Linked DNA regions of Caenorhabditis elegans. The protein of the gene in region 3 interacts with the protein of the main gene of each other region in a pairwise test. Each region holds a gene or a part of one and is shown on either strand. Other genes may lie near its edges. The genes, in order: ubql-1, F38B7.2, ubq-2 and ahcy-1.

What was found.
Region 1: the proteins of ubq-2 (region 3) and ubql-1 interact in a two-hybrid assay, tested with the Caenorhabditis elegans proteins (one large-scale study listed by BioGRID).
Region 2: the proteins of ubq-2 (region 3) and F38B7.2 interact in a two-hybrid assay, tested with the Caenorhabditis elegans proteins (one large-scale study listed by BioGRID).
Region 4: the proteins of ubq-2 (region 3) and ahcy-1 interact in a two-hybrid assay, tested with the Caenorhabditis elegans proteins (one large-scale study listed by BioGRID).

The regions. Positions count from the first base shown.
Region 1 is NC_003279.8:7,018,207-7,029,322, reverse strand, and holds ubql-1 (Ubiquilin), read right to left. Parts: upstream 7,342-11,116; coding exon 7,249-7,341; intron 7,127-7,248; coding exon 7,021-7,126; intron 6,976-7,020; coding exon 6,668-6,975; intron 6,560-6,667; coding exon 6,431-6,559; intron 5,867-6,430; coding exon 5,623-5,866; intron 5,297-5,622; coding exon 5,157-5,296; intron 5,112-5,156; coding exon 5,028-5,111; intron 4,982-5,027; coding exon 4,869-4,981; intron 4,822-4,868; coding exon 4,756-4,821; intron 4,712-4,755; coding exon 4,651-4,711; coding exon of another isoform or gene 4,630-4,650; exon of another isoform or gene 4,600-4,629; intron 761-4,599; coding exon 658-760; intron 610-657; coding exon 548-609; 3' UTR 249-547; downstream 1-248. Other genes in the region: pdi-3 (Protein disulfide-isomerase), read left to right, coding at 8,536-8,766. UniProt on the Caenorhabditis elegans protein: May play a role in the ER-associated protein degradation pathway (ERAD) possibly via its interaction with ER-localized proteins ubxn-4 and cdc-48.1 and/or cdc48.2, providing a link between the polyubiquitinated ERAD substrates and the proteasome.
Region 2 is NC_003283.11:11,540,787-11,548,182, reverse strand, and holds F38B7.2 (CX domain-containing protein), read right to left. Parts: upstream 4,581-7,396; 5' UTR 4,166-4,580; coding exon 4,074-4,165; intron 3,812-4,073; coding exon of another isoform or gene 3,750-3,811; coding exon 3,512-3,749; intron 3,465-3,511; coding exon 3,352-3,464; intron 3,308-3,351; coding exon 3,064-3,307; 3' UTR 2,893-3,063; downstream 1-2,892. Other genes in the region: F38B7.11 (CX domain-containing protein), read right to left, coding at 27-261, 678-787, 837-1,033, 1,085-1,088; F38B7.10 (CX domain-containing protein), read right to left, coding at 1,807-2,104, 2,158-2,270, 2,321-2,647.
Region 3 is NC_003281.10:12,975,228-12,981,480, reverse strand, and holds ubq-2 (Ubiquitin), read left to right. Parts: upstream 1-2,957; 5' UTR 2,958-2,959; coding exon 2,960-3,098; intron 3,099-3,175; coding exon 3,176-3,262; intron 3,263-3,311; coding exon 3,312-3,472; 3' UTR 3,473-3,518; downstream 3,519-6,253. Other genes in the region: dbd-14 (DB domain-containing protein), read right to left, coding at 329-388; frg-1 (Protein FRG1 homolog), read right to left, coding at 1,369-1,614, 1,669-2,179, 2,239-2,306; ZK1010.2 (DUF155 domain-containing protein), read left to right, coding at 3,619-4,142, 4,724-5,104, 6,020-6,239.
Region 4 is NC_003279.8:6,831,489-6,838,640, reverse strand, and holds ahcy-1 (Adenosylhomocysteinase), read right to left. Parts: upstream 2,173-7,152; 5' UTR 2,157-2,172; coding exon 1,935-2,156; intron 1,867-1,934; coding exon 1,111-1,866; intron 1,043-1,110; coding exon 707-1,042; 3' UTR 501-706; downstream 1-500. Other genes in the region: dpf-3 (Dipeptidyl Peptidase Four (IV) family), read right to left, coding at 1-67, 114-287; teg-4 (Splicing factor 3B subunit 3), read right to left, coding at 4,239-4,283, 4,463-4,558, 4,681-4,785, 4,832-4,975, 5,028-5,240, 5,958-6,056. UniProt on the Caenorhabditis elegans protein: Adenosylhomocysteine is a competitive inhibitor of S-adenosyl-L-methionine-dependent methyl transferase reactions; therefore adenosylhomocysteinase may play a key role in the control of methylations via regulation of the intracellular concentration of adenosylhomocysteine.

The DNA.
Region 1 (11,116 bases), on a different chromosome or scaffold from region 3:
TCATTATAACCTCAAAACTTCTGTCATAATTTTTTAAATTCTCTAAAGAATGTATTCTAATCTGGTAAATTGATAAAATAATGGCCTGAAAATAAAAAAGGGATTCGTAGATAAAAATGGATTGTCGCATTCAAAAAGAGGACAATGAATTAGCAGATTGCTCTGACGGCTCCGAGAGCACATCTTCTCCAGACTCCACCCAATTGAACTGTTCTTGCTTTTCTAAGACATCTGTCAATAAGAGGATTGCCAGGAAGCTCCAACGAAGCTCGAATTTATGAATGAATACGCAATACCAAAAGAAAATAACTTATACTTGAACTGGTACGGAATACAAAAGAATAATTTTAAACTGGTGGAAGGGTGATACTAGAAGAACGAATATACTAGTTGTTCACATTTTAGAATAAAGATTTAAAAGGATAACCTTTGGATAGGCGAGAAGCAAGATCACAGACCAAGTTAAGTTTACAGAAAAAAATGATAGTGGAAGGAATCGGCGGAGGGTTGTGTGTGTGGGAAATAGGTATGTGTGGCAATTGGGGATCTATGGAGAGTTGAGAAGACGTTCGACAGCCGCGTTGAGATCTCCGAACGTTGCGGTCAGCGCTGTAAATCATACTTTACTTATACACAAATCAAATATTATCAACATACCTGCCACATTTCTGGCACGATCCGAGAAGCCCATCGATTGAAGTTGTTCGAGTTGTGATGCATAGGTTTGCTCCGGATTCACTGGTGCAGCAGTCGATGAGGGCTGAAAATTTCTCACGTTAGTGTCATTTGTGGGTTAATCAATCAATCATAGTCGCCGATCAGCGGTCTGGGAGCTGGGAGGAACTAAAAGAGTTGCGATTTGATCGAAGGTACATTTCTCTCTTTTATCGACCGACTCATTCTCCAAGATATGATTAATGTGTCATTTGATGATTGCGACGTGTATTCACAACAAAAGAGCTCAGCGCTTTGCGAAGAGCAACAGTTGGCTACCACTACCACCATCATCTCAACACCTGAGGGAGAGCAGGAGATAAAGAGACATCACACCGCTTCTTCATATTTCGGTTACTAGCACTAATCACTCAGAGCGATGCGGCTGTCTCAATATTGAAGATTTGACACGCACATATATCGGTTTTGACATTGCCTCCACAAGGGATCATATGAACTTAGGAGTCTTACAGTAATTGAGAAAATGTCAAAATTGATTATATGAATTTTAGATTATTTTAGACTTCTTTTAATTTATAGCTTCTGGGGAATCTCCTAAAAAAGTATTGGGTTTCGTTTTTAAAACTTTAGTGGTCACATGAAAACTTTGAAAACTCAATTATTGTTGTGCTAGAGGCTCAATTCCAAATCCATCCATCTTTGTATTTGGAAGGCAATCATTCCAAAATCTATTCCCAAGAAACAAAAAATATGGTCTATAGGAGAGCGGAGCACTTGATTGAAATGATGCACATACATACCCACACAGACACAAATTAACATTTCCTCTGAGAATAGGCAATTTTGAAAACATGAGGGAAATGCACATAGCATGCGTAGAGCTGCTTCTTAATTGTTCATTACATATTACGAGTCAGTGCTACGATGTTTATCTTCTAAAAACGCATTTTGCTTGTCATGTTTCGAAACAAATGAGTGCGCGAACAACGAGTATCTGTGCATTTATATCTATGAGTGTGTTGTTCTCAATAATAACAGAGACAGGAAGAGGAGCAGTTGGACGAATCGACGCGTCATATGTGTTTTTGCATGGGACCCCTCTTGTTCTTCTTCCTATTGTGACCAGCACTACCGCATCTTTCCGTTCATTCGATTTATGCATTACACCATACTTTGACGAGTTCGACAACATGCATTAAGTGATACAACGTGTCCTCCACTCTCTACACATGTCCCTACAATTCCATCAACATACTAATTAATGAGAAGAAATGATTGGACTATGTTTCGGATTTAGCTATCGTAATTTTAAGGGAACTACTTTAAAGGAGAAACAATTTTAGATATTTGAATTTATTGTTTATCCTTAATGCAAAAATCAAGGTTTCAATATGATCTGAGCAAGAGAAGCGATGTTCTACTATAAAATAACTATATCACAGGTTTGATACAGGTGTTCGAAAGAACTGTTTCCCATGCAACCAGCCATCTGTCTATTGTAAGAACAAGAAAACCAATCGAATGCCTATTCAAAAGACACTAAGTGTTTTGCCACTGAACAGATCATCCCATCGTTTCGGACGTCGGCTCCTAATAGACTCCACTACTAATCACTTCGAATATCATTTGCATCGGCTCATCTTAACAAAAAAGGCGGGAAACGAGAAGACCGGAAGATGTTCGCCAGCTGCCTCTTTATGAAATGAAATACGTGTATGGCACGGCGCGTGTTCCACACAATCGCCGATTAGACAATTGTTGAATGAATAAAAGGGGAACGTCGCCGTCCTTTTTCCTATCTGCTCTCATCATGCGCACCAACCTCGCGCACTATTCCATTACACAATATTCCTGGAGACACATCGTTTACTATGATCTATGCAAATGTCGTCAAAACAATCATCTAATGAGACAAAAGCTGCAGCAGCAGTTATAACAAAAAGGGGGAGAACAAATGTTGTGGCCAATTGCTTGAAACATACGGGATAAATTTGATAGCAGCGTAACCGCTTACAAGATGAGATTATAGTGACATCCGATCCGTGGAATGTGTGTGTGTGTGTGTGTGCAAATACGTCGTCGCGCATCCTAAATATGCCACAAAACATGTGCTCCTAACAATTGCGGGAAGCAAAAAGAGCAACACTGATTTGCTTATTAAAGGGGCCGAAGAAAAAAGAAATATAGATCAGATATCGTAGTAAAACTTCTCGAAAAATCAAGTTTCCTAATTTGCAGTCGAAATTGGCAACTACCTAGATACCACCTATTTTAATTTTGGAATTCGACCGAAAATAGGCAATTATTCAAGTATTATAATTTAATTTTTTGTATTAAAACATTTTAGGGTGTCGAACATGGAATAATGCTCTAAACTTTACAAAAAGCTCAACTTTCCGAAAATTTGGCATTGTGCGTACAAATAACCCCTAATGTAGTGAAGATCACATCTACTAAAATTGAAGGTTCTGTGATAAGAAAGTTTCCTTTCAGCTTTTGTGTTGCCCTCTCATCCCAAAAAAGATCTGATTATTGAACATAGTTTTTTTTGCTGTGAAATGTGTAATATTTATGTGAAGAGACGAGCCTTTGTCGATCAACGTTTTTATGTGCGCCTACTAATATCATTTTATGTGGGCAATGCACATACATACACACACTCATCCACGTTTTGGTATTGAACAAAATTAATCGAAAATGTAAAATGACATATAACATGTATGTGCCAACAATGTGTTGTGTGATGCGAGAGCATTCGGTCCAGTAGTGCAACGTCGACGAAAATTAAAAAATCTGATCTATTCGTATGGATAAGATGCCCGCCTTTCACACTTCCTATGTCAAGTGATGAAAACGAAAAATGCAGAAATTATTGCTTTTGTTTCCAATTCAAATTGTTTCGTCTAACAATCATCAAAAATTAAAAGACAAGGAAATGAGGGGCCTTCCTCTTTCACTGGGGGAACTCATGATAAATCTCCCACACTTCTCTTTTCTAAGAGTATATTCTGTCTGTAGAAAGGGCCGAGACATCAGAATTTCGAAACAATTTTAGATACGCCACCGGGGTCTAAATGAAATTCGATATGATAATTGCATTTTCTGAGCAAACAGGAAAAGATTTTCGATCGTGCACGCTGTCATCAGTTTGCCATCGTCTTCGTCACTTTATACTCATTATCTAACATTTATCCATAGCATGTCAAACGAGCCGACTTTTGCTTCTGCTCAGCGACGACGGCACAGAAGAAGCAGAAGACGGAGCATCGTCTTGTTACATTATTCAGAACAGACACACGATGACTTCTTCTTTCTTGCTCGCGCACTTCCGTCGCTGTCACAGAGCAAACGGCGACTCGGCGCAACTCATCAGCTTCTAAATTTGAGCAAAAACTTTGATATATGAAATGAAGGGGGAACTTCATTTGATGTGAGGCTTCAACTAATCATCCAAATTTTCATTTCAATTTGGAAAATTCAAAAGACCACGGAATCGAGAGGGAAGTATAAAAAAAACTATACTATGGGAAATTATTGGATTCGGTGATATTATTCTAAATCGATCTGTCGATTGAATTAGAAAGGAAAGCTTAAAATAGTTCAATTAGCTGAAAAAGTTCTTTGAACCCATGATGTTTCAATAACTATCATACAGACAATAGAAAGTTTTGGCAATTGCCGATTAAAAAAATTTTACCACTTCGATAAATTCACAATCCAAAAATAGGCTATTGTCGAGTTTTCAAATTTTGCAATGAATAAAAAATAAGAAAAACTGATTTCTACAGTAGTAATGCTTTTTTTTTAGCTTTTTAAATAGAAATTTTCTCTTTTTCAGTTCATAAAATCTTATTATCTCGTTATTTCACTCTGAATATTTTTTTTTCTAGACAATTCGAGAAGGCCGAACTTGAAAATAATCACCTCTGCTCCCATAAGAAGTGACATAAGAAATCAAATATTCAATATACTCACTCTTCCTCCTCCCATATTCATTGAATTGAATAAATCGGCAAGTCCGTTTGCAGAGTTTGCTCTGAAATGAGAAAAAACTATCAGCTATAAAAACTATCAACGAACCCAGCAGAAGATGCATTGGCATCAGAACCGAATGCTCCACCTCCCATTGCTCCAGCTTGGAAAAGGCTAAAATAATTTTAAATAGTTTTTGACTAAATGGTATTTTCAAATACTTCAAAAGTTGAGGTGCTTCTCTGCGAAGAGTTGAAAATCCCTCTTGAATTTGACGGAATGCTTCACTGACCCGTGGGTTTCTCATTGCCTCCATCACAGATGGATCAGACATCTGAAATTTTGAAATATAAATTTTTGTAAAAATTTAGAAAATAAACCATGTTGAGCATTTGTGGAAAACTTCTACGAATTCCTTCGGAAATCTGTGGGTTATCACGAGCCGATGGAATTTGTCCAACAATCTGAACTTACATAATTATTTTAAATTTTTTAAAAATGAAACTAACGGAATCAATGAGTCCAGGATTGTTTGACATATTTTGACGAATTGAATTGATGACTTCTGGGCTGAACATACTGGCCTGCATACTTGGATTGGACATCATCTGCTCCATTAGGGAGCTGATGCCAGGTGAATCAAGCAATGCTGAATATGAATTAAAACATTATTAACGGATCACTAAACTATGAGGATATTCGTGACGTTTAAATATTTTGTTTAAAATTATAATAAATGGTGGGCGGCAGACGTAAAATTGGGCGAATTGGAAATTTGTCGTTTTGAAATTTTTGTTGGAAATTTTTTAAGGAAAATGTTCAAAAATACATTGCTGAAAATCTTTTTTCACATTTACAATTTTTTAATTTTTTCGGCAAATTGATATTTGGCATTTGCCACTCGTCATTGATTATTATATGATTTTAATGTAAGATTTTTTTTTACTTAGAGAAATTTGACTCAGAAAAACTTACAATTAAAGTCAGCAGAACGATTATTCGATTGATTATTGGTAGCTTGATTGGCGTTTGAAGCCCATGGATTTGGCAGAGCTTCATTATTTTCTTGTCCAGCACGATCGACACGTGGCTCACTGCTCTGATCACCTCTTAGAGAAGCAAATGGATTTCCACTGAGCGAATTTGTTGCACTATTGAGCAAGGGCTCCTGTACATCATTGTACAACCGTTCAAGAGCAGCTTCTCCTCCGGGAATTCCCTGAAAATTGAATGTTTCAACATAAAATAACAAATCCAACCGAAAAAAAGGAAAATCTGTTGAAATTGGAATTCAAGACAAAAACCCCTGTAGCGCGGCTGGGATGGAATATATAGTTTCCAGAAATGTACCCCTGATATTAAAAAAAAATTAGCAATTTTTTGCCATATCAATTAAAATAACAATTAATTACTTTTAATAGTCATATTTAGACATTTAGATCGGCATCCTTGATCGATTTTTTAAAACTAAAACTGAAAAATCAGAATTTTTCGTTTTTCGATTTTAGAGAGAAAAAACCGACTTTTTCAATTTTTAAAAAATGGTATTAAATTTTGGTAATTTTTCTTTTTTTTAGACAATTGTTAGATAACATTAAAATGTCTTCGTATGTTTTTTGTCACCAACATATATGACACAAGTTGTGTGTCACACAACTTGATAAAAATCAAATTTTATTGATAATTTTCTGGACTTTTTTTCTTCGATGTTTCGATTTTCGCTGAAAACATTGAAAAATTGAAAAATGGCATCCCTTGATCAGCATAGCTATATATAATGTACCTGAAGATTCCTAATAGCTTGATCATGATTCCGCATCATTTCTTGGAACATATTTGGATTACGAATCATCTCCATAGTTTGACGCATTACATTCGGATCGTTGAGAATGTGTCCAACTTCTGGATTTCTCTGAAAATATTTATTGTCGATATACGAGAGAAATGTGGAAGATTAAAAAATTAAATAATTTTTCGAATCCGAAAATTTACAAAACAAATATCCAGGAAAAACTCGAACCTCAATCAATGCTTGGAATTGTGGGTTGGATTGAATAATTGTTCTCATAAACTCTGGATTTCCTAGAAGTTGTTGTGTAATTGGATTATCCATAACTGAACGCATAGCATCTGGATTGTTTAAAATATCAGCAGGTGATCCCATTCCTCCCATTGCTGCAAATGGATTATTGGTAGGATTCGGTTGTGAAGAAGGTGTTGGATTGGAACTTGGTGCAGATGAAGCTGTTGGTGTTGCAGCAGCCGGCGCTGGTGTTGGACGGGCTTGATTTCTAATAACCAAGTGGACGGTGTGACCATCAGCGATTTCTAAATTTTTGTTTATTATTTTTTGGAACACATTTTTCAACTTACTGTGCTGTGTGAGAGTTTCTTCATCCTTCAGAATTTTTCCGGTGTAAATTATACAAACTTGTTCTTTGTTCGCAGTTGGAACGAACACAAGAACCTTGTCTTTTAGCTGTAAAATATTAATTAAACACTGTGATTTACACATTTAATTTATCAAAATGGAATAATCACTTGAATTTTTATCTAATTCTCAAGAGCAAAATTTTATTTTTTAAATAAAATATAACATACTTCTGAAACTGATGCATCCGCAGCAATCTCAACGTCATACTTGTTCGACGGTGATTTCACGTGAACTTTGATGAGTGCACTCTCTGTAGCCATCTTAAATTTGAGAAATATTAAAAAACCGACAAAATTAAATAAAGAAAAAGGATTGAGAGAATGAGAGGCGGAGACGGAAAAGAACACGTTGCATCGATAAATCGAGAATATTCTCGAAGCGCAAAAAGAAATTTCGCAACTATTTCAGACCGAATAATGTAATAATGTAATGGGTCTCTTCGATAGAAAATAAACGAAGATAAACGAAGACACAATTCTTCCTGACGCGCGAGCTTCAATATGCACGTGATGACTAATTTGGTTTCCATGGTGATCTTTTTGTTCCTTTTATCGATTCAAATTTACAATAAAAATAAGAAATTAAAGTTCTAAATGGCGCTCCAATCAATTTGCCTTCCAATTTAACGTCGATTCCTTCTATATCAGGTCATAAAATGAATAAAAAACAATGATCAATAAAATGATGCGGTAGTTGCGTAAATCGACACATGATGGTCGCCTCTTCCGTGCGAGACCCATTGGGCGGAGTTCTCACAAGAATGAGGCCAATCGGCACACAACACGCGTGCGACAGGCAGTGAACGACGTGTTTTTGGCTCAGTTCCTACCAATCCCTGGTGTACACACGAGCGCCACGTGGACCTTAACAATTCGGGTCTATTTTTATGCTTCTGCTCTGCATTTTCTGGATTATTAGTAATAATATCATTAAAAGTGATATAACGCTCCCCGAGTCTATATAAAATTTCTCCTCCATACAACACATGTTTTTTGGCTTTCTTCTTCTAAGCTTAAAATTTATAGTTATTTACTAACTGTATTTTCCACTTATTAAAGATAATTTTTGAAAAGTGTTTGTAAATACTTAAAATTGAACCCGAAACAATCTGTATTTGTCCATTCACATGTGATTCACAGAAAAGAATGAAAATAAATGCGAAAAAAAAATAAATAAAGTAAAGGCGCATTGATTTTACCGCTCGCGGTATCTCGCCACGAAAACACGTTTCGCGTCAAGCGGCTCACGTTTTCGATGCGATCGCGGTTTGTTAATTGCGAAAACACCTTCCCTTCTCTTCAATCGTTCGCTCAATTTCTAGAAAATATTTCTGAATAATCTGAAAACCTCTAATCTTGTTTCTTAGTTTTTAACTTTTTGTCGGTGTTCCCGATAATCTCTCGCCCTCTAAACTCACTCGATCGATTGTCGTTTATAGGTAAAGTTTTTAGGTAATGATTTGGGTCCAGGCAGCTTTGGTCGCCTCCTTCCTGGCGTTCGCCAGTGCTGGAGGAGCCGTTCTCGAGTATACCGACGGAAACTTCGATGATCTCATCCAAACCCACGACATTGCTCTTGTCAAGTTCTACGCTCCCTGGTGCGGACACTGCAAGAAAATTGCCCCAGAGTATGAGAGAGCTGCCCCAAAACTCGCATCTAACGATCCACCAGTCGCTCTCGTCAAGGTAAGATAACCATACTTATTTACACAGCCATCGCTCATATATCGATCGCAGTGACACTGACAAATACGCGAAAGCTGATAAAACAGCAACGAAAGCCACATTGAATAGAAATATATGAAATGCATACAAAGGATTCTTTGAATTTATTGTTCTAGTCCTTATGCATATAGAAACATTTGTCCGTCATATATATTATGTATGCTGGTCCAAAATGGTTATTGTGTATTCAAAAGGCCATTGACAATGAGATCGGCTCGACATTTACATTTTCCCACGCATCAAATCACTGTTTGTTGTCAGGTCTTTACTCTACAGAATACGGACATCAATTAACGATAAGAGCAAAAACACCAGTCGCGTAGCAAACAGTTTTATCTATACCACAAACGAGTGCGATATGGTAGTAAATGAAACAAAAGATTATGTTTTTGAAGTTGAAGATTGTAAAAAAAAAGAAACAAAGATTTGAACCACGGTTTAGTAATAGGAATCCAGCCCCCCTTTAAGAATTCTCAGTTTTGAAACAGTAAATTCAATATTATCTCGAAAACGATCTATCACATGTGCATTGCCATAGAGAATAGTATATGTTTGAAATTTTTGAAGCAGTAATTGACAGACTTTTTCAATTAAACATTTTACGGTGTTCCTTTTGGCAAACAATTCCTCTTCTTTTCACGTGTATCTTTGTAAAATTCTCGAAATCTCTTTCCCAGTGTTATCCGAAAAAAGGCGGAGCTTGCCGCAAAGACCCAGAAAAATGGGCGTCACGCTCAAGTTTTCGAGAAAATATAAGATCCACCTCCTTGCGTTGTACGGCTCTGACACATTTTCCGGAGTTTTTTCAATGAAAAGAGGCCATAAAACTTCATTTGACCGACTTCGTTGTAATTTCGTGATTCTAAAATTAGCAACGCATGTTATCGTTAGAAAACAAGTAGTTAGGGATGGTCACCAAGGGTGTCAGTGTCCCGTAAAAATTACAAAAACGGGACAGTGGGATGTCCCGTTCCCGCGAAAACACCCAAAAAACGGGACAACGGGACATCCCGTTCCCGTGAAAACGCTCAAAAACGGGACAGCGGGACGTCCCGTTCCCGTGATAATTTTAAAAACGGGACAACGGGACGTCCCGTTCCCGTGAAAACACCCAAAAAACGGGACAACGGGACACGGGACTTGACACCCTTGATGGTCACCAAATCATGTGCTACACAGCACCCTAGATTGCGGGAGCCGGCCCTGTTGTCGTGAAAATGAAAATGTTCTCCAATTTCAATCAGTCGATCATGTTTTAATTCGAATTGAAAATATGATATTTAAAGCTAATTTTAAAATGCTTGAATTAGCTTGCATTTTTTTAAAAGTTGAATTTCAATAATTTAAGTTTTAATATCTCTGAAAAGGAATAGGATGATGCATGTGAATGAAATACTGATTTCTCTGCCAATATCGCATCCAAGAGAGTCGATCAAAAATTAGTGATGCAGCCTCTAATAGACTTGCCTGAATAGTTTCAAAATTTTCAAATATATTCTTTATATGTATTTTTTCAACTGCGTCATATAGTTTCCAAAGCTAAGGGTCATTCGTAGCTTAGTCTGGCATGTGACACTAATAGAGGTAATTTCAGTATCCTAATAGTAAGAATCAAAAACATGACCGAATACTTTTTGATTAATTCGATCGTTTCAAGGTATTGGAAAGATTTCATCGATTAGTTTTATTTATTGGACGACGATAGTGACGATCACATAGTAATAACGTGGGTGTATTATAATAATGTTGAAAGAGCCTGTTCAAATCATTTTGGTTGACACATCTTGTTTATTCACTTCTGCAATATGACGAAAAGTGCAGCGTTGTGGCCATGTTCCAATACATAATCAATGGATTTCTGAATCAGGGGTGTGCGGCAAATTTGCCGAAAATTGCCGACTTGCCGAGCTCGGCAAATTTGCCGATTTGCCGAATTCGGCAAATTTGAAAAAACCAGCAATTGCCGATTTGCCGAGCACGGCAAATTTCAAAAAGGTAGATTTGCCGAATTTGCCGAGCTCGGCAAATTTCGAAATTTGCCGCACACGTCAAAAATTTTACAGTACAATTTTGAGTAAAATTATTGATTTTTTCGCCAAAAATTTAGTAAAATGACACAAAATTGAGTTAGTTTTATGCTTAAGCAGACATACTACACGGAACTAATTCAGAAACCAGATGTGTGTTAAGAATTCGGTAGTTTTGGTGTTCCAAAAAACATCAAAAATTATCAAAATTTTCCGAGTTTGTTAAGCACGGCAAATTTTGAAAAACCAGCAATTGCCGATTTGCCGAGCTCGGCAATTTTTTC
Region 2 (7,396 bases), on a different chromosome or scaffold from region 3:
CAATTATTCATCAGGCACATTTTCAGTTAAATAATAGAAGAGTTTAAAGGTTCTGCAAGGATAACGTTCCCTGCCATAATAGATGCATATGATGGTGGTATTTCTGACAAATGTGAGCAAGCTACTTTATAGGATGGAGGGAGTGCGATTGATTCGGAGTTTGATGAAGATGATGGTCTTTGTTTTATTTTCTGATTTTTTCTGATTTTAATATAGACTATTGAAGTAGTCCAAACAAAGAAGATACCAACGGTGAGGCAACTGAAATAACATATTTTAAGAAAACGGGGGTTTGAAGAAAAATCATTCATGTTTTCAATAGATCAAGATAGCAACACAGTCTTGTAGTTGAGTGTTACTCCTATGTTAGCTATAAATTTAAAATAAGTTTTTAAAGACAAAAACAAATCTCATTCGTATTTTATTGTTAGTGTAATAGACGTTTAATATAGAAGGAAGTGATTAGTAATTCTCGGTTTTGGAAATTTTCTACAATTTACAGATTGATCTTACTTTCAACAAACAAAAATTGATCCACCATGAAACCTAAAAATACTGTTAATTTTGCCAATTATGCAATCGACAGTTTTGCCAACTCCCGGGGAAAATCGCCGGACTTTTTTACTTTCATATAACCTATGTGCTTTCATATAACCTACATAATGTTTCCAACTCACACTATTATCAAATAAAACGGGTTAATTCTGCACCTCAGCCCGTAACATAGTTCAAAACACGAGCATTCATAATAAATAGAATCGACATGTGTCATATTTGGAAGGTACGTCTGAAATAAATTTCCATCATTTTAGTGGATATCATAAAATCAAAGTCACCGTTTGAAGTTCAGTGGCATCAAGGAGTGGATGAATACTGTATTCACAAATATCTTGGAATGTTTCTTTGAGTTTTGGATCCAAATAATATCTTGTTCCGTCAAAAATGAACGTTTTGTTCTCATTAATTATGTGATAGGGAGTTCCGAAACGAGTCTCAGAATGAAAAAAAGTCATATTTTTCGAGAAAATACGGCCTGAAATCACACTTTTAGGTAAAATATTGTTTTTTTTTAAATACTACTTACTCATAATACGCTCTTTTAGTTGTAATTGCTTCGGATAATTGTATTAAACTAAGCAAAAATAATTTAAACATGGGAAAAAAGATCATGAAAAGGAAATGAAAAGAGCCACGCTATTTCACCTGATTTAAAAAGAAAGTTGGATGTGCGATAGTTGCCTTAGATACCAACACTGCATACGCATTTTCTGAAAGCGATTACGTCAAGTTGTCTTTTCGTAAATCGAATATTTCAGATCTTCTGAAAGTCAGAGATAGCTGAAGTGATGTTAGAAAGCATATACATGAATGTGAAAAACATTTGCACTTCGGTTTTTTCTTGCTTATGATCTTTTCGCATGGAATAATCACACCGCTAATAATTAAAATAAGAAAACAAATCAATATAGCATAGTTCCCTCATTGAGTTGAGCGGTTGACAACTAGTAAAAATCTTTTGAATAAGATACTAAGATGATTCTGAAAAAATGTTGGCTCGGGCTCCAAAATCACGGACTTCGGTCGCAACTTCATTTTTTCAACGAAGTTGAACAAAATTGCAAGTGTTTTTTGTTTATTTTGATCATGAAAATTGGTAGCAGAAATTACTTTATGAACAATTTATATACATACATCTATAGGCGTCTGCCAATTAAATCATTCATAAAAAGTGTTTATTGCATATGAATTCAACAAACCAAAAGTTCACAATATTACTAAACGAGTTTCATTAGCCCTGCTTAAATGTTACACAACTGGGGAATAGGATGACACTGTAAACAATACTTTTCCTTGAATAACTGCCTCGTAGGATGGAGGTGAATTCAAGCATGCTGAATTATAGGACGGAGGCAGATCGACATCGTGAAGCATTAGCGGAGGAGACGGCGGAGAGCACTCAAACACTGGAGCGGCGGGATTATTTGTTTCGTGATTGGATAATGACATTCTTCGTTGATGGGCTATTTGTTTTTGTCTTTTTATCAAAAAATCCCATAAAAGTTTAATGGGATAAATTAGAATGAAAACAGCTATTAAAATCAATCTAAAATAGAATTGCAATATATTTCAATCTTAAAAATGTTGAAAGTCACTTACATTATATTCCAACAAGATTGTTTCAATTCACATTCTAATCCCGAACAGGTAGTGAAAGAAGAAGAACAATGAAAGAAAATACTTGTTGACCGAGTCATATTGGGAAAGTATGTCTTTAAAAAAACAACGTTAAAAACTATTACTTCAGAAAGAAATCTAGAACCTTTGACAATTGAGGGGCATCTAGAAAACCAAAAAGTGCGTATTCACAAATACTATCGAAACCTTTCAAGTCATCATGATTATCATCCCAATAATACATATATTGATCAAAATAAAATGCCTTTTCTGGATGATTTATGAAAATTTCATTTCCGTTGTATTCAACAAAATCCAGATGATTTATGTTCGTTGCGTACGCACTACGAACAAAACGGTAATAGTTGTTTTCATTTTTATATCTTAAATTGATTAAATTATATTTTTGAATGAGTAATGCCAAAATCAAAATCAACATGCAGATTTGTAAGTAAACAGAGCTCATTCGCATGCCCACAAAAAGAAAGCAGGAGTGTTGCCTTAGTTACCACTGCTCTCTTACCTATTTGAATTTCACACTGCATTGATTACGTCAAACGATTTCAGTAAATCATCGTCGTAAATTATTTGAAAAAAAAAACGTTTTAACTATTCAATGGATTGAAGTGATTTTGTAGTTTTTAAATTTAGCTTTATTATGAAATTTTGAAAAATTATAATTTTGAGTGTATTCAATTTTTCCCAAACTGACGAACTCCAAATTCAATTATTTATTTTTAAACTAAACTAAACAAATCCTGATTATAAAACAACCCGTTAGCACAAAAACGTTATTTTGTTTAAAACATGCTCTATGGAAAGTATTTGACCTCGTGCACGTGTTGTACAGAAGCACGTCTTTAAACTGGTAAATACTTGAAGCACTGATTAAGAACGTGAATTTGATCTTGACCGAGAATGAGAATTTGATCGAGATACTCTTCCATGTCGAGCATTATGGTATGGCGGCGGTATAGCAGAGTTTTGTGCATTGTATGGTGGTGGTGGAGATCGATGTGCTGGATTTGTTGGGTCCATTATGTGGAATGATGTCTGACGCTCAACACGTTTCATATCTCTTCGTAACATTCTCTTGAAACACCAAAAGATTGAAATGAAAATTAGAAGAAATCTGAAATCTCATTATTGGCCGGAAATTCAAAAAATAAATCTTACATTGGTGGTACAAAAAGTCGGCTGTCAATTTTGCATTCCAATCCCATGCACGTTTGCGCAAAATGGCAACGATAAAATAATGATTTCATTTGTGTATTTTCAGGGGAAAATGTCTGAAAAACTTCAATTCCAGTGCTTAATCAAAAATGAAATTTCTCACCTCATACATTTCTTTTGAATCAATCATCCAATTTATACGATATTCGCAAAGATTTTTCACTCCTTTCAAATCAGCGTGTGACTCATTCCAGTAATATTTATATTTTTCGAATTCGATTGGCGTATCGGGATGAATGAAATAAAATTTGCCAGTCTTATTTTCTATCACATCAAAGTTATGTGATTCCTCTGCGAAGACGGTTTTGACAAATCGAGGGTAGAAATTTGTGGAGATGTCTCTGAAAATTTTAATTTCAAGAACAAGGTTTGAATAAAAGTTCTGAATTTTGGAAACATGCATAGGACTAACAGGAAATTGTTTGTGTACTAGAATTTTCTTCAATTTTAAGTTTTTTAGGGCTCATTTTTCAACAGTTGTATCTCTTTCATATTCACCAAAAGCACAACTTTATTATAGACAATTTAAAGTAAGAAATAAACTTGTGAATCTGCCAGTAATAATTGACCAGCCTATATGGTGGGAATTTATTAACTGAACAATCAATAAAAAATGTTGATTTTCTTTCAACTTGAAAGCTTGAAAACATGAAAAAAAAACTTACGCATGATACGTGACTGTTCGTGGTCTTTCTCTAACAATTCCAAGAATACCAAGTGGTAGCATCAATAGAACAAAACCGGGAGTATAATGCATGTAAATAGATTTACGATATAATCCAAATGACTATATCAAGTGATACTTTCCACCCACTGAAGCCAGAACGTTCTTTTCCTTATTGACGTCAAGATCAAACAACTTCACAGAAGATTATTTAATGAAATCACCGTTTTTCATCAAATCAATTGATGAAAAGTTTAAAGTTAAGAGGAAAGAAAAGAAGGGGTAAAAACAGTGATGTCACTTGCGAGAATATCACCGAGAACCGGTACTTTTTGGCCTTCGGGGTCGAATTGAGTGGCAGGAAAACTAATATAAGAAACAACAAAGACCTTCTTGAGACTTAATTCTTGGTTGGGTGCATGATAGGTTGGACACCAAAAAATTACTGAAAAATGCAGATAATAGTGGTATCTAAATGTACGCACTGAGATTAAACTAATGAAAATTTTCTTGTCGGAGAAAGACTGGTTTGTTGATCAAGATTTTATCAAGCGATGTTGATAAGGATTCGATAGTAGGTTCATAGATTCATCTTCGAAAAAGGTTAAATTTAATCAGAATTGAATGTTAAATTTCACATTTAAAAGTTATTTTGAAAATAGTACGGTCAAAATTTAAAAAAAAATGAACAGTGCAACCAGCAAGATAACTTGTTTCGAGGATTTTTTTTTAGAGAAATCACGTCTTCATTGTTTTTAGAGAGTAAACTTGTTCCTTGGCAGACAAAGAACCAAAAAAGAGATAATTGATAATTATAATCTGCTATATAAAAAACAATATGCATATTTATTGATTTGTGGAATATAATTGATAAACATATTTTTAAAAAATTTCAGGCTGCTCGGCATTCGCCGCCAGATTCTTGCCCATGTTTCACAGCTTTTAATCCAAGTTTCGCCCAAAAAAAATTAACATGGATTAGAAGCTGGCCAAACTTGGGCCACACTTGGGTCAAACTTGGGCGATGCGTCAAAAAAGGAAAAAAGTCAACCGCTGTGTAGCCCACTCTCACTCAGCCCAAGTTTTGCCCAAGTTTAGCCCAAGTTTAACCCAAGTTTAGCCCAAGATTCACCTGTATGTTGAACTCCGATCGTTTTTCCCGTTGTGCTGATCTCTTATAAGTTGTGCTGATCTCTACAAGTTGTGCTGATCTCTTATAATTACCTGTTGAGCCATGATGGTCGCGCGAGAATATTTTATTAATTTCAATATTAATATTGCAAACTGTTGTTTCTACTTACGCGTAGCCATTCTCATAGGTTTAGGTTAATTTTCAGTCAGTACTGTATTCGATAATGCTAAATCATAATGAATGAATTTCAGTTTTCTATTGATACCATTTTTCTTCAGAACCCAACATTCTGAACACTCTATCAAGTATCAAGTGCCAAGCAAATTCTCGAGGGGTCAGTATTTCAGAAAAGCTTTTCGAGTAGTTCAAAATTTTGATTAAATGATCGGAGAATAACAACTTTTAGCTATCAAAAATTGATTTTAAAAAATTAAACTCAAATTTAATCACAACAGAAAACATTCTTCACGGATTTACTTTAAATTAGCAAAATAATAATGATATTTAAACAGTTCCAGTCACAAAATTCCTATTTTTTGTCCGCCGAGGGCGCCCTCGGCGGCGCGCCGCGTGTTCAAAGTTGGGCGAGACTTTGGCGAAACTTGGACCTAAGTTTGGCCAAAGTTTGGTGGGATAGTTTGCATTAGAAAACTTAAACTTCGGTCAGACTTGGGCTAAACTTGGATGAAACGTTGGCTAAACTTGGGTAAGAAGCTGCTGAGAGCTAAAGTTGGGCAAGAAGCTGCAGGTAAATGCCGAGTGACCACTTCTGAAAACATTGTTTTTAGTGCAAATTACACTGAAAAATATAAGTTAACAATTTTAACCTGTCGCAAACAATTATTGGAGATCAATCACAATTTGTAGAAGTTTACTTATTTCAATTTAAAAATCTGTCATTCAAGATAAAGTTAAAGTAATTTAAATTTAGTTTTAAATTCTGCCAACTACACAAAGTGAAGAATTTGTAAAATTGTAATTTTTTTGAATGGAACCGCAAATAAACAAATTTCTTAGCTATTGCGATTGCGGTAATTTTTTAAAAACTTGTGTAGAAATATAATTCTGTAATTTGAACCATTTGTACTCGTTAGTGACACTACATGAAAAATCAACACTGGGTTTTGGAGGAGGCAATGATGATTTCATCGAAAATATACACGACGTCATTTATACGCATTTTGAGAATCGTTTGATCTTGACACTTTGCGCACTGCATTCCAAAGTTGATACCAGAAGTGTCGCAAAACTTTGTTCGTAATTTCATTTTCAAAGTTCAAGGTGATTCATAGTTAGTTCAAAATATCAATGAATAAACCAAATAATGGAACACTTTTGTTACTAATAAAAACTCATGTTTTTACATGCCTGCTAATTTTTCAAGGCATGGACGCTTTTTTGAAACTCTAGAAAAATGTGATGTTCGTCGAAAATGCGATTTTTCTGTAAATTTTAAAACATCTGGGTATGCCCAAACCAGCTGGTCGGTAGAGATGCTGACGCCAATAAAATGCCCCAATGAAATGGACATCTTCTAAACCCCTCTAATAATAGGGGCTCCATAGCCGTTGGTCCGTACTGTCTCAAAAAATTCGGATTATCTGGGCAAAATTATTTTTTTACTGAGTTTTTTTGCGAAACAAAAACAATTTTAAATGTATTTTCCTAAGAACGGCTTAAATTGTTTGAAAAAACTTTTCCCAGATATCTGCTTTCAATTATTCTTAAAATTTCTGTTTCAAATAAATCAAATTAAATTCAAAAAGAAGTGAACTTTATTATAAAAGTTATGCAAATATGGGAGAAGAAAAAAAAAGACAAATCGAAATAAAAAACATGGGAAATATAATTTTAAAAACAGTTTTCAGAAAATAAAATGGGAAAGGGGCAGCAGAAACCGGGATTTTCTCATGATAAGGACAAGACGCAAATCGAGGAAGATGGGGGAAAAATGATTGAGACACGGAAAAAGTATGAAAATTAAAAACTACTCGACATTAGTGAAACTATGTTTGTTGTACAAGTTGAAATTAAATTCTAGCGAACGAGGAACAAAGTTTAAATATAGAAAAAAATGCGCGGTGTAAAAGCAGTAAATTAGAAAAGAATTAGAGGGTAGTTTGACGATAAAAAACGATATATTAGTTGCACTTATATAAACTTAAAATTGTAAAGAAATAATGCAAAATGTA
Region 3 (6,253 bases):
TGGGTTACTGTAATTCTTAAAGGCGCACACCTTTCTGTTCAAAAAATAAATTAAATGTCGCTCTGTACGAGACCCGGAATCGTAGTTTTAGTTGAAAAATTGCAATTTCAGCTTTAAAATAAATTTAAAAATATAAAAATAGGCTACTGTAATTCTTAAAAGCGCACACCGTTTTTGTTCAAAAATATATAAATATATATCGTTCTTTGCGAGACCTGGCAAATCGTAATTTTAGTTGAAAAATTGCAATTTCAGCTTCAAAATACCTTTTAAAAATCTAAAAATCATATTTTCGAGACCTATTTTTTTTTAATTTCCAAATACTCACAGCCTCGGTAACCACTGCACCGGCAACTAATACTAGAAAAATTGTAGTAGACTTTGCCATTTTTTTTTTCGGCAGAATTTGGTAAACTACAGTTCATATGCCTCCTCTTTTATACAACAACATCCGGTGAATTGACAGTGGAACCGGATTTCCATATGGAGTATAGGCGAAAGGAAGGTACGATTTCAAGGAAAAGAGTGGAGGGGAAGTACTTGAAGCTTGCATGCCATCCAAGGACGGCATATGGCCTTCATTAATCTCGTCTCGGAAGAGAAAACTTTGAAAAAGCGAGCTGAAGCTGAATTCAGTGGGAAAATTGCTTTGAAACGTCACAAAAAGTCACAAAATTGGGTCACAATGACCGAATATCATGATTAAAAAAAAAATCAAAAAAATGTTCTAGATTTTATATGATTTTTTGAAAATTAGAAAAATCTCAGTTTTCCCCCTAATTCCTATTTGAATTTCCGCCAATTGGATTTGTTCGATGGAGCGCGCTTGCATTATTTTAGTTAATTAATTTTTATTTATTCTCGTTATTTGACTGATTTCCTTCATTATTTGTGTATTTTTATCTAAAAAAAGAGAGAAAAATGCAAATCGTTCATTAAAAAATCACTGAAAATTGGTAAAACTTGTGTGAAAAATGCTAATTTCAGACTTGTTGTCGTCGGAACTCATAATTTTATAGTTTTACGCATTTTCAGTGATGTTTTAATGAACAATTTTCATTTATCTTGCATTTTTCTCTCTTTTTCCAATAAAAATACACAAGTAATAAAGGAAATCAGTCAAATAACGAGAATAAATAAGATTAAATTTTAAAAATAATGCAAGCGCGCCCCGTCGAACAAACTTAATTGGCGGTAATTCAAATAGTGAAAACTGAGATTTTTGGTGGCCCTATAAGAGCTCTTATAAGAGTATTTTAAAGCAATTTCCCCATTGACGATACTCCATCCTTAAACAAAAAAAGAAAGTAAAAGAATAATTATTAGAGAATTTATTGAATTTTACAGAACAAATACAAGTGAAGATTATTAACAATATCGATCAGATTTCATTTTCATCCGTCTGTCCAGCAGCAGCTCGTGTGCACTTCCGTCGGCCTGCGCTTTCTTAACTCCTTTCTTGTCCTTCACGTCAATCGCAATATGTCGGTTCTTGAGATCAACCTTCGAGTGCTGATACATCTTCACGTAGGCCGTCTCACACTCCCGAGCGTTTTTGCGGTCTTCCACAGATCTCCAATCGACTGGGCCTTCTTGTATAGCGTCTGTACGGATCTGGAAATTGAATTTAATCGGATTTTATCTATTTATATCTAAATTAGCACTTACATTAACCATTTCATTCTCCGTAGCGGTTCTACTAGCCACATAAATATGCCCCTCTTTATTTGGAACTGTAGAGAGGAAAAGTGGTGAGGAGACGGCTTGGAACGCGGTTTTTCCCTCCTGGAAAACCAACACGAATTGCTCGCGGGATCCAATAGCTTCAGCCATGGCAACCAATTGATATTCGCTGTCCACTCCAACATATCTTCCGAATCCTGTCTTCAAACTGATTTTACTATCGTCTGGAGTTTTGACGAGCGCGAAAATTTCCTCAGGATTCGGGCCTTCTCCCTCCGGATGTGGAAATCCAATTGTGAATTTTCCGTTGTCCATTGCAGCGACATAAGTTCGCGTTGAGCCGGCTCCACTGGCAACTTCGATGGCGACGTTGGTTCCTCCTTTCATATCGAATTCATCGGCAATTTTGCGCCAACCACCATTTTCGACGGTGTCTGGATCGATTTTCTCCTTGTCGTCTTTGTTCTTCTTCTTTTTCTCCTTTCCCACTTTGAATCTGCAACGAGTGAATTAATGGAGGATTTTATACACTTTAAACTTGAATATGTCACTTACAAATTCTTTTTTCCGGCTTTTAATTTCAATCCACCACCTTTTACAGCACTGTAGTCAGCGCCTGGCATTTTTTGAAGTTTTCTGCAATAAAAAACAAAATTTTCATCAATAAAACTGTAAATTTCATAACAAAACTCGAAGAAATCAATAAAAAAACGTTCGAAAAACGTTTGAAACAAAAAAATAATATTCGAATTCTTCTCCCCCTTCCCGTAAATCCTGCAGCTCTCTACCGTACTTTCGCCGTCTCTCAATTTCGCGGCGAGACCCATCACCACGGCAATCCTCCATTTGTGTCGCTGGGCCTAAATTTTTTCCGTTTTTTTGCTCGATTTTCGCCGTTTCTCTGCGAAATTTTTCCAAATTTCTGTTCAATTTAATCAAAATATTGTTCTGGACGCTTGTTCAGCATAGAAAGTGGAGATTCTGTTGTATTTTAAGCTTGGAAAACGAATTTATTATGAAATTTCATTTTTTTGCTAAATAATTTCTCTATTCTTGAATTTTTACAGCTTTTTAACGCAAAATATTCTTTCCTCTTTGTTCTAAATGGGTAGTTACACACATTATGCGGTCTATAACGTCTTTTGTCACCTTTGAAACTAGTCTCTAAAGAAAAATCAATAATTTTTGCCCCTACGCTCTCCTCCAAATGTTTCGCTCTCGCCGTCATTTTCTGACAATTTTACTCGGTTTCTTTTCAAATTATATAATTTCAGTCATGCAAATCTTCGTCAAGACTCTGACGGGTAAGACTATTACCCTCGAAGTCGAGGCTTCCGATACCATTGAGAATGTCAAGGCCAAGATCCAAGACAAGGAGGGAATCCCACCAGATCAGCAAAGATTGATCTTCGCCGGTACGTTATTATTCAGACCTGATATATTCTTGAATTAATTTCCGGGCAAAACACCCAATATAATTTTCTAATTTCAGGAAAGCAACTCGAGGATGGACGTACTCTCTCCGACTACAACATCCAAAAGGAGTCTACTCTCCACTTGGTGCTCCGTCTTCGTGGAGGTTAGTTTTTTTCTAATGTTCAGGCATTGAGAAATATTTCTAAATTCAGGAATCATCGAGCCATCTCTCCGTCAGCTCGCCCAGAAGTACAACTGCGACAAGCAGATCTGCAGAAAGTGCTATGCTCGTCTCCCACCACGTGCCAGCAACTGCAGAAAGAAGAAGTGCGGACACTCCAGCGAGCTCCGCATCAAGAAGAAGCTGAAGTAATCTTCACTCGTTCCAGTCCATGTGTTGGCAAATAAATCGTTAATTTTAATTGAATGTCGCTATTTGTGCAAAACGTAAATTTCGTAAATATTGGATTTTTGGAATGAGATTTGTACATGGTAACAAAGAATCATTATAAAATACAGATGCTCAAATCAATACTTCGGGGAGCTCTAGTAGCTACAAAGCCGGGTCCAGCCAGGCGCCAGTTCTCATTCACAGCACTTCTGCGGAGCGAGACCCAGCCCAAAGAGATAATTAATCTGGAACGGGTTCAAGTTAGAAAGATGAAGAAGAGACGCCCAGTTGCTTCATCGGTTGTTCCAAAATCCCTACGAGAACCTTCAGTCGTCGCCATGGCACTTTCAGAATCACTGAACCTCAATGAGGTCATCATGGATGCACAGCTCAATGGAATGTATAATATAACTGCAATCGACGAGGACGCGGATGACAGCTTGCACTTTGTCAAAAAACTGGAATATACCATCAATCCAGGCGAACTCAGTGAAATTTTCGTGTTTCGAGATGGAGTTGTCGTTTTTTGGAACGTTGATTCTAGTCAGCGATCGCATATTCTACGGGAGCTCGAACGATACGCAGATGCTCCATATGACTCGATGATTGTGATGGATGAGCAGGATAGAATGTTCTATAAATTTTCAGAGCAGTACGTTTTCTCTTGAAATCGTCAAATTTGCAAAAAAAAAACGGCGCCGCACAGAAATAGAGGCGGGCGTAATTTCGCAACCCTGTGGCACGGTTTTTACTTCTTTTTTTTTAAATTTGAGTTTTAGCCTCACAACCTTATGATAATCAAATTGGATAACATTTCATTCAAAAAAAGAAAGTAAGTAAAAACCGTGCCGCAGGGTTGCAAAATTACGCCCCGCCTCTTTTTCTGTGCGACACTGCTTTTTTGTTGCAAAATTCACTTTTTTTGTTCAAAAAAGAAAATTTAGATAATTTTCTCCAATAGAAGCTTCAAAATTAGGAAAAACTCGACAAAAATTCAAAAATTTACAATTTTTTATTAATATAAGCGAAATTTGCAAAACAAAACGGCGCCGCACAGATATAGAGGCGGGGCGTCATTTTGCAACCCTGCGGCATGGTTTTTCCTCTTTTTTTTTTGCAAAATTTGCAATTTTTAACTCAAAAAAAAAAGAAAAATAAAATGACATTTTCCAGCAGAAACTTTAAAATTAAGAAAAACTCAAAAGTATTAAAAAAGAAAATTATTATTTCCAGGTCTACAGGATCCACCATTCGTCAAGATCGTTTCTACCTCTCGGGAAAACATTTGGACGCCTTCCACGGCTCGAACGAAGCAATTTTAGAGCGATTTGCACTCAGTCAGGGATTCGCTGCTTCCGTGAAAATCGGAGTCTGGGAAAGTCTTCTAAACAATCTTGCGGAGCCACTCTCCAACACTACAAAATCGCTAACTCTGGGAAAGATTCCGTGGAGCCGGAAGCAGGCTCTCATGAGATCCGGAGAATTCGCAGCTCTTCGACACTCGATTAATCTTGATTGTACCCTGTTGAATAAGGATTTCTATTGGGAACGACCTGAATTGGAGAAATATTATACGATGACGGGACGCCATTTCTCACTAGACAGACGGATAGGGTTAGGAATCTGAAAAAATCGCGAAAAAAATTCAAATTAAAAAGAGTGTGCGCCTTTAAAAAATTTTGTTTTTTTTTTAAAATATATTCCAAAAAAGGCGCACACTGAATTCGATAGAAGTTTTTTTGCTAAAAACATGAAAAAAAATCGAAAAATTTATGAGTTTTTCGATACATATCAGAATTTTTTGGTTTTTTTTACGTAAAAATCGAAAAATCTAGAGCCAGAACATGATTCACAGAAATTTCGGATTTTTGTAATCCGATTTTACGAAAAACTGCGATATTTAGAGAAAAAAATCGATTAATCTGAAAATTAGCTTTAAATTTTTAAATTTTCTTCATTTTTCGAAAAAAAAATGATCGAATTTTTTAAATATAGCTTCAAAAGTTTGATTTCTTTTATTTTTTAGAAAAAAAGTGATTTTTTCAGCAACTTGAACAAAATTTTATAAAAAATTGAATTTTGGGTAATTTTTCGAATTTCTCTTAAAAAATTGAAAAGTTTCGATGAAAAATTTCAAAAAAAAAGCCGAAACCGGTAAATTGTATTTTTGCGTTAAAAAATCTCAAAATTCAAATTCCTGTAATTTTTCGATTTTCCGGAAAATCGAAATTATCAAAATTAATTTTAAAAATTTTCAACAAACACTTTTTTAATTTTCAAAAAAAAAATTAGTTTTCGGGAAATAAGTTTCAATATTTTTACTTTAAAAAAATTTTTTTCTTAATTTTCCAGAAAAGTCATATTTCCTAATTTTCAAAAAAAAAAGAAAAAGATTTTTAATACAAGTTTTCGTTAAAAAATCTTTTTCCAATTTTTTTTTAAATTTTCATTAAAAATTTGTTTTCCAATTTTCAAAAAAAAAAATACAAATTTTTTGTCCCGATTTCCATTTAAAAATTTTGTTTCCAGTCTCCTCAACAAGCGGCTCGACTACTGTGAGGAGCTCGTGAAGATGGTCGACAACACGATCGCCCTTCGCCACGCATCCCATCTGGAGTGGATGATCATCGTGCTCATCGTCATCGAGGTCATCTTCGACGTCTTCCATTTTGCAGACAAAACGCCGAAAAGTGTGATGATTGTGCCGGATTCTTCGAAAGCTCAGCAGCTCAGGAATGAAGGAAACTAGCTTAATCTAGATTA
Region 4 (7,152 bases), on a different chromosome or scaffold from region 3:
TGAGACGATCTTTTTCTGCACGCATGAGGCTAATTTTTGTGAATCCTTGTGTTGTCATGCCGCGCACCTGAATCAGTTTATCGAAATAATATTTTTTAAATCATTTTTCGAACCTCCGTCTTCCAACTTCTTGCATGATCTATTAATTGACTGAATGAACGAGTCTCAAATCTTGCCGGCTCATTTTCCCTCATTTTCGTGTGGGTAAGTTGTTTTAGTACTGAAAAATCAATAAATGGGGAAACATTTTGCAGGTTATAGAGAAACTGATAAAAATTGAACATCATGGGAATTTCTGTAAATATAAAAAGTGAAACACGAAATGAGTGAAGCGTTGAGAGAAATAAAGAACTTATTTATCAATAGAGCGCCCTTCACCCCGACAAATTTAAAATTTGTTTTTCCCTGCTTGAAATTTCCCGGGCGTAGATCTGAAAATTCGATAAACTCACGCCTAATCAAACGTTTTCAGAATAATTTCTCAAACAATCGTCAAAGTTACTCCATAAAACATTTATGTCCAAAAGACAAACAACAGAACCAAATCAACGAGTTGAAGAAAAACGACTAAATCAGGCGATTATGTATTTGGGGGAAAAGCGGGTAGATGGGGAACAATACAACCAGTTCAAGATCATATGAAGTTTGAGGGCAATACAATTTAAAACAGTTAAAAAAATATCCGTATGGGGTAGAACCAACAAAATTAATATCTGTAGTGGTCTGGCTTGTATGGTCCGGCAACTGGAACTCCAAGGTATGAAGCTTGCTCGTCGGAAAGCTTAGTAAGCTTAACTCCCAATTGAGCCAAGTGAAGATAAGCGACCTCCTCGTCAAGGGTTTTTGGAAGAACGTAGAGTCCGAGCTTGTATTCTTGTGGAGTTCCGAACTTGGTCCAGAGCTCAACTTGAGCGAGAACTTGGTTGGTGAAGGAGTTGGACATGACGAAAGATGGATGTCCGGTGGCACATCCAAGGTTGACAAGACGTCCTTCGGCAAGGAGGATGACGTGACGTCCGTTCTTGAGGGTGTAACGGTCAACCTGAAAAAAGTTGGTTCAAACTTCTATCGATGATTGTGAATTCATCCTAATTCTGAACATTTTCTTACCTGTGGCTTGATGGTGTCCTTCTTGGTGGCATTGGTGTTGAGCCATTTGACGTCAATCTCGCAATCGAAGTGACCAACGTTGCAGACGATAGCGTCATTTGGAAGAAGCTCGAAGTGCTTTCCGGTAACGATGTCCTTGCATCCAGTGGTGGTGACAATGATGTTAGCCTTTGGTGCAGCCTCCTCGAGGGTGGTCACTTCGTATCCTTCCATAGCGGCTTGAAGAGCATTGATTGGATCGATCTCGGTGACAATGACACGGGAACCGAAAGCCTTGAGGGAAGCAGCAGATCCCTTTCCGACATCTCCGTATCCAGCGACAACGGCTACCTTTCCGGCGAGCATAACATCAGTGGCGCGCTTGATTCCGTCTGGGAGAGACTCGCGGATTCCGTACAAGTTGTCGAACTTGGACTTGGTGACAGAGTCGTTGACGTTGATAGCTGGAACCTTAAGGTCTCCCTTGGCGAGCATCTTAGCCAAGTTGTGGACTCCAGTGGTGGTCTCCTCGGAAAGTCCGCGGATTCCAGCGAGGTATTGTGGGTACTTGGCGTGAACCAAGTTGGTAAGATCACCTCCATCATCAAGGATCATGTTGAGTGGTTGTCCATCCTTGAAGACGATAGTTTGCTCAATGCACCATTCGTATTCCTCGTCGGTCTCTCCCTTCCAGGCGTAGACTGGGACTCCGGTCTGGGCAATGGCGGCAGCAGCGTGATCTTGGGTGGAGAAGATGTTGCAGGAAGACCATTGGACCTGGAAAAAGTTTCGATTTTTCAAACCAACTTATTTTAATACTAATTCTTTCAAAAAACAAGATTTACCTCAGCTCCGAGAGCAGTAAGAGTCTCAATGAGAACAGCGGTTTGGATGGTCATGTGGAGACATCCGGCGATTCTAGCTCCCTTCAATGGCTGGGATGGTCCGTACTTGGAGCGCATAGCCATAAGTCCTGGCATCTCATTCTCAGCAAGGATGATCTCCTTGCGTCCGAAATCGGCGAGCTTGATATCAGCGACCTTGTAAGCTGGCTTAGACTGGGCCATTGCGAATGTGTTTTACCTGAAATAATTAGAAATTTATTTTAATCTGCAGGACGGATAGGGAAGAGAAGCGAAGAAGTCCATAAGACGGAAATAAAGAAAAAAAATGAGACACTTTTTTGAAAGTTCGGCTGTGAAAAGGATAAAACAAGAGTTTGTGAAGAAAAAAAAACTGATTGTGAGAAGGTTATTTTCCAATTTATAAGTTGTTTTTGTTTATCAGAGAATCGAAAATAAACAAAAACAACCTTGGCTTACGTGGATTGCCAAAACATCAATTTTTAAATGGAAAAAAACAATAATCCATGTGTAAATAAGTAAACCCGAAAATACGGAAGATAGTTAGTGGACGAGAACTTTTTTAGGTTTTAGAGTTTAATATGTGGGAAAATCTATTAAATCTGGAACCATGACGAAGAAATTTACAACTAGTCGGTCTTTTAAACATAAAACAAAGCGAGGAACTTTGCAAAAACTTTTCCCAAAAAGAAAGCTTTTTCGAAATTTCTACTGTTTCGATCAAAGGCGCAGTGATTTTTCTCAGTGGGTCCCGCCACGAAGGCCTAAAATTTGGACTTACTCGCCGCGAAACGATGATTTTTATTTGAAAATTACTAAAGAAAATTTAAGAAAAAAACGTATTGACACATGAGGTGAGATATGCATCCTGCGATGCTCGTCAACCGTCAAGACAGCGTTATTTATGGAGAATTGGCGATAAAATCTTGATAGCCTTGTAAAATGTAAGATTACTTTGGCCGATAGCTTTGGTAAAGTGACCTTCCTGAATTCCACACCACCGCAGATTTCTTTGAAGATTCTGTACGACCTAGAAAAGGATATCACGTTTCAGATTAAATTTTAGGATTCGTCGATGATAGATTTCCCCCACTTTCCTCTTGTTCTAGAATGATTCAGTACCTTTTCAGTCTGAAAGGGAAAAATCACTTTCTTTTTTTTTTGCTAGCCCGTATTCCTACGGCGTTATTTCTGGCCCAACGGCGGCCTTTTATAGCACCCAAATGCCTGTGCCACATCAGTCTCCGCCCACTTTTCGTCGTGGATGTGCTGCGTCTCTCATTCTCCGCTTCTGTGTACTTTTCTATGTTAGATGTGCAGGAATGATAAGAGCTTGAGAGAAAGCAGAGAAAGAGGAAAGCGAGGGAAATTCAAAAATTAATTTTCTATTTTTGACACATTTTTTACAATGTGGCGCCTCAATTTGGATAATGTAATTTTTCATGCAAGACGTCGACCGGGACAGTTTCAAAATTTCTAAGTGATATGTTCTGAAATATAACTGTGTTCTGAAATATAATTTTGCTCATTACAATTAAAACTAAAATTTTCTTTGCAAATCTCGTTAAATTCTAGAAGAATCTATTAGAGATCTATGTATCTCTTACTTTCTATCATCCAAGGTCACTTCTTATCGTAGTTCTTTTTTCGAAATGCCCTCCGCCGCCAATTTCGTAGACAATTAGGTTTCGCTTATCAATTTTGCAAAGTTCAGGTGGTTTTAATGTCTAATAGAATTCTATAAACTTTTTAATGTTTTAATCTCCTAGAATAGACTTCATTTAATTTTCCAAATAAAATTTCTTTTGGTTTTTCCAAAATCCTCGAATGCTGAGAATCCGGTGCAGTTTCTCTGAGATATCTATTTCCCGGAAAATGATTTTTGTAATTTAGTATCGGAAATTTTGGCAAGGCGAATTTTTCTAGACCCACTTCGACCGTATACCTCATCTGGAATTCCAGACAGCTGATCAGCTACACATCACGCCATTCACAATGTCTCATATTTTATGTTTCTTCTCTTATCTCAATGATTATATCATGGTGATCTTGTTAACAATCGGCGCACGAGAAACAAAAAAGGAGTAAAAGAATATTAGTGAAAGGTAAAAAGGAGAGATTTCCTGAAAAAATCTTTTAAGAAAGTTATTTAACAATTTATAATTTTAGGATGGGAATAGGTTGGGACGGGAGGAAACGAAGATCAAATGAGAGAATCAGGAGAAAAAACATTTAAAAATGAAATAAAAATGTAGAAATTCAACAAATAAAAATAAATAAATTATGTTAAAAGGCGTAGCGAGTGCGAATGTCTTCCAACTTCTTTGAGATCTGAAAATTAATTTAATTTAGGCTATAATATGGAAATTTTTTGTAGTTTTAATAATTTTCTGATCACTTTCTCATGTTTCTGTTGTCTTGAAATTGCATAATCTCGTTAGGAATTTCTTGTTTCTTATCTAATCCATTAGAAATCTCCGAGATTCCAATTTGAAACAAAATATTCATACCTCGCTGACAGTTTTTCCCAATTCTTCAGCAACATCCTTCTGTTTCTGTGTATCCATCAAGCTGAACTGCTCGCAAATATCACCATCGATTACACTCTGAAAATAAATTTTTATTTCATTTAAGAAATATTTTTAAATCAAGAAAATTGACGGTTTTGTTTGAAAACTTTACAAAAAATGGCCAAATTATTGAGAGAGTTAAACTCGACAAAACCAACCTTGCATGGTGCGTAGTAACTTCTATAAGCAAGATGATCACGGCCACACAATGGCGGATATTCACTGCGAACATGCATTTCCAGATTTGTGAAAAAGTCGACTTCCTGAAAATAAAATGAAATATTCAAAAAATTCCATCAAAAATCTTACATCTTTTGACATGAACGAAACCAAACATCCAATAGCTCCACCAATTGTTGTATATACTAATGCTTCATTTGCTCCAGGCATTAATGACGTCTTCTGAAGGCTTGTAATCGTGTCACCGATGAAGAAATTCGAAACAAGTTCGACCTGAAACAAATTATTTCTCAAAAAATAATTGTAATAAACCATTTGAAAATACCTTTTGTGAAGCTCCATTAAGCCATCCACGATCCCAAACACTCTTCGATACAGTTGGATCATCCTGTACATCTTCATTAACTCTTTCCGGAAGACGAACAACTGCCAAATTTCCGAACTTATCAGCAACAGCTACAGTATGATAATCAAGAACACAAACACATGTCACGTAACGGGGAGTTGTGTCATCAGCGAATACAACCAATTGATTATCCTTCAAAAATTCATTTTCATGAATATATTCAACATAACATTTATAAAAGTAAATATGTATTTCTAAATTGCCTATCACTTTCTGGAATATTTTTTGGTGGAAAGAACACAAACTCAAAAATTAATTATAAACTGGTTAAACGGGAAGAATAATGACAAAATTGCGATATGAATTTTTTTTTTTGGTTTTTTTTTGTCCTTCGGCTATGTCGATTTTTTAGCACAACCGAAAACTCGACAACCCGACAATCTGGAAAACTAAAACAAAAAATATAGTTTTCTGAAAAACCGAATAAAATACAGAAAAAGACAAAACTTATTTTCACTTTTCTGAAGTTCTTTTTTCGAGTTTTTAAGATAGAAAATTCGCGCGAAGAAAAAAGTAAAAATAGGCCCCGCCCATTTCTTGGCATTTTTCACTAAAATGAATTTTTCTCAATATTAAAGGTGGGATATCTCCTGAATTTAAAAAAAATATAGCAAATGGCCAGTATTGATAGTAATTTTAAAAAATTTTGAATTTTTTTTGAAATTTGTATAAATAAATGATTTATTTTCAGAATTTCCAATTGAAATTGTTTGAAAAAAATTGAAAAAAAAATCATGAAAATCCTAGTTTTTTAAACATTTTTCGGTCATTAAGGTTAATTTTCTATATTTTTCTATAAGAAAATTTCATCATACTCCATTTTAAGATGTAATGAGTTTCAAAACCTACTCCTTTCCGATATCTTAAAAAGTGAACAGATTCTTGGCTATCCGAGACGATGATTCGTTGTCCTGTTGATTGAATATTGACAATTGAAACTGGGAAATTCTGAAAATTTGTAAATTAAAGTACGGAGCCCATATTTTTTTTGTGGACAATTTTTCAAATAGTTATTTTTTCCCTGCAATGTTTTCATCCAAGAAACCCATTATTCACACGAATTCTTTTTGTTCAAGCCACCTTCATTTTTTCTGAGTATTCAATTTTACTAACTAGTTCCCGATTCTCGTCATTTTACCTCCATTCATTTTCCCTTGGGAGATTCTTCGAGCCCCCAGTATCATCATCTTGTAAACAAAATAAATAGAATACATTTATATGCTAGAGGGGCATTGTCTCAAATTTCTGTTCTCGAATTTATTTCCTGTCAAAACACGAAATGTTCTCATTTTAGAAACTATCAAGTTTTCTCTTCACAAGAAATTATGTTTTCTCTCATAAATCTTTCTAAAAAAATTACATGTGGATCTCCTAAAAGATCCTCAGAAACGAAATAAATGAGCGATATTTAGACAGACCACAGGAAAACCGAAAACACAAAAAATGGACCGGAAGACGTGTCGCCCAACATTCTCCTGCAATTTCAACATTTTTTCTTAGTCGTTGTATTCTGCTCTCCGAAATATTTCGCCGGTCGTGCTCTTTTCTTTCTCTCTGAACAATTAAACTTGTGTCACGTCTTTCTTTTTCTCCTCTGCTTCAGAATTTTCATACTTTGTTCAGAGACAGTCTGCTCCTCGTTTTCAGTCGTTCAGAGTCTTAATTTTCTAGAGTTTGAGGAAAATCATAGATTCGAGATGGCCCTGAGAAACTAATAAGCCTGACTAATTTTGAATTAGCAAGTCCCGAAACTAAATAAAAGGCGAGGAAACATAAAATAATCTCGTTCTCATTTTCTGTTTTTCGTAGATCCAATTTTATCAAATTTTACAGAAAAAGAATACGGTAAATAATTCCGAAACAATACATTCTTTGTCTAAAGTATTTAGGTTTAAAACGAGAGAAATTTGAGAAAAAACAGGAAATAGGTTCTTTCGTAGTTTTTAACAATAAAGGTATTTATGTGTTTCACTCTCTTTTTCTATGGGAAGAGGATCCTCTCAGTTTTCTTTCAAATCTTATCCTCTTCATTCAAAAACAACCC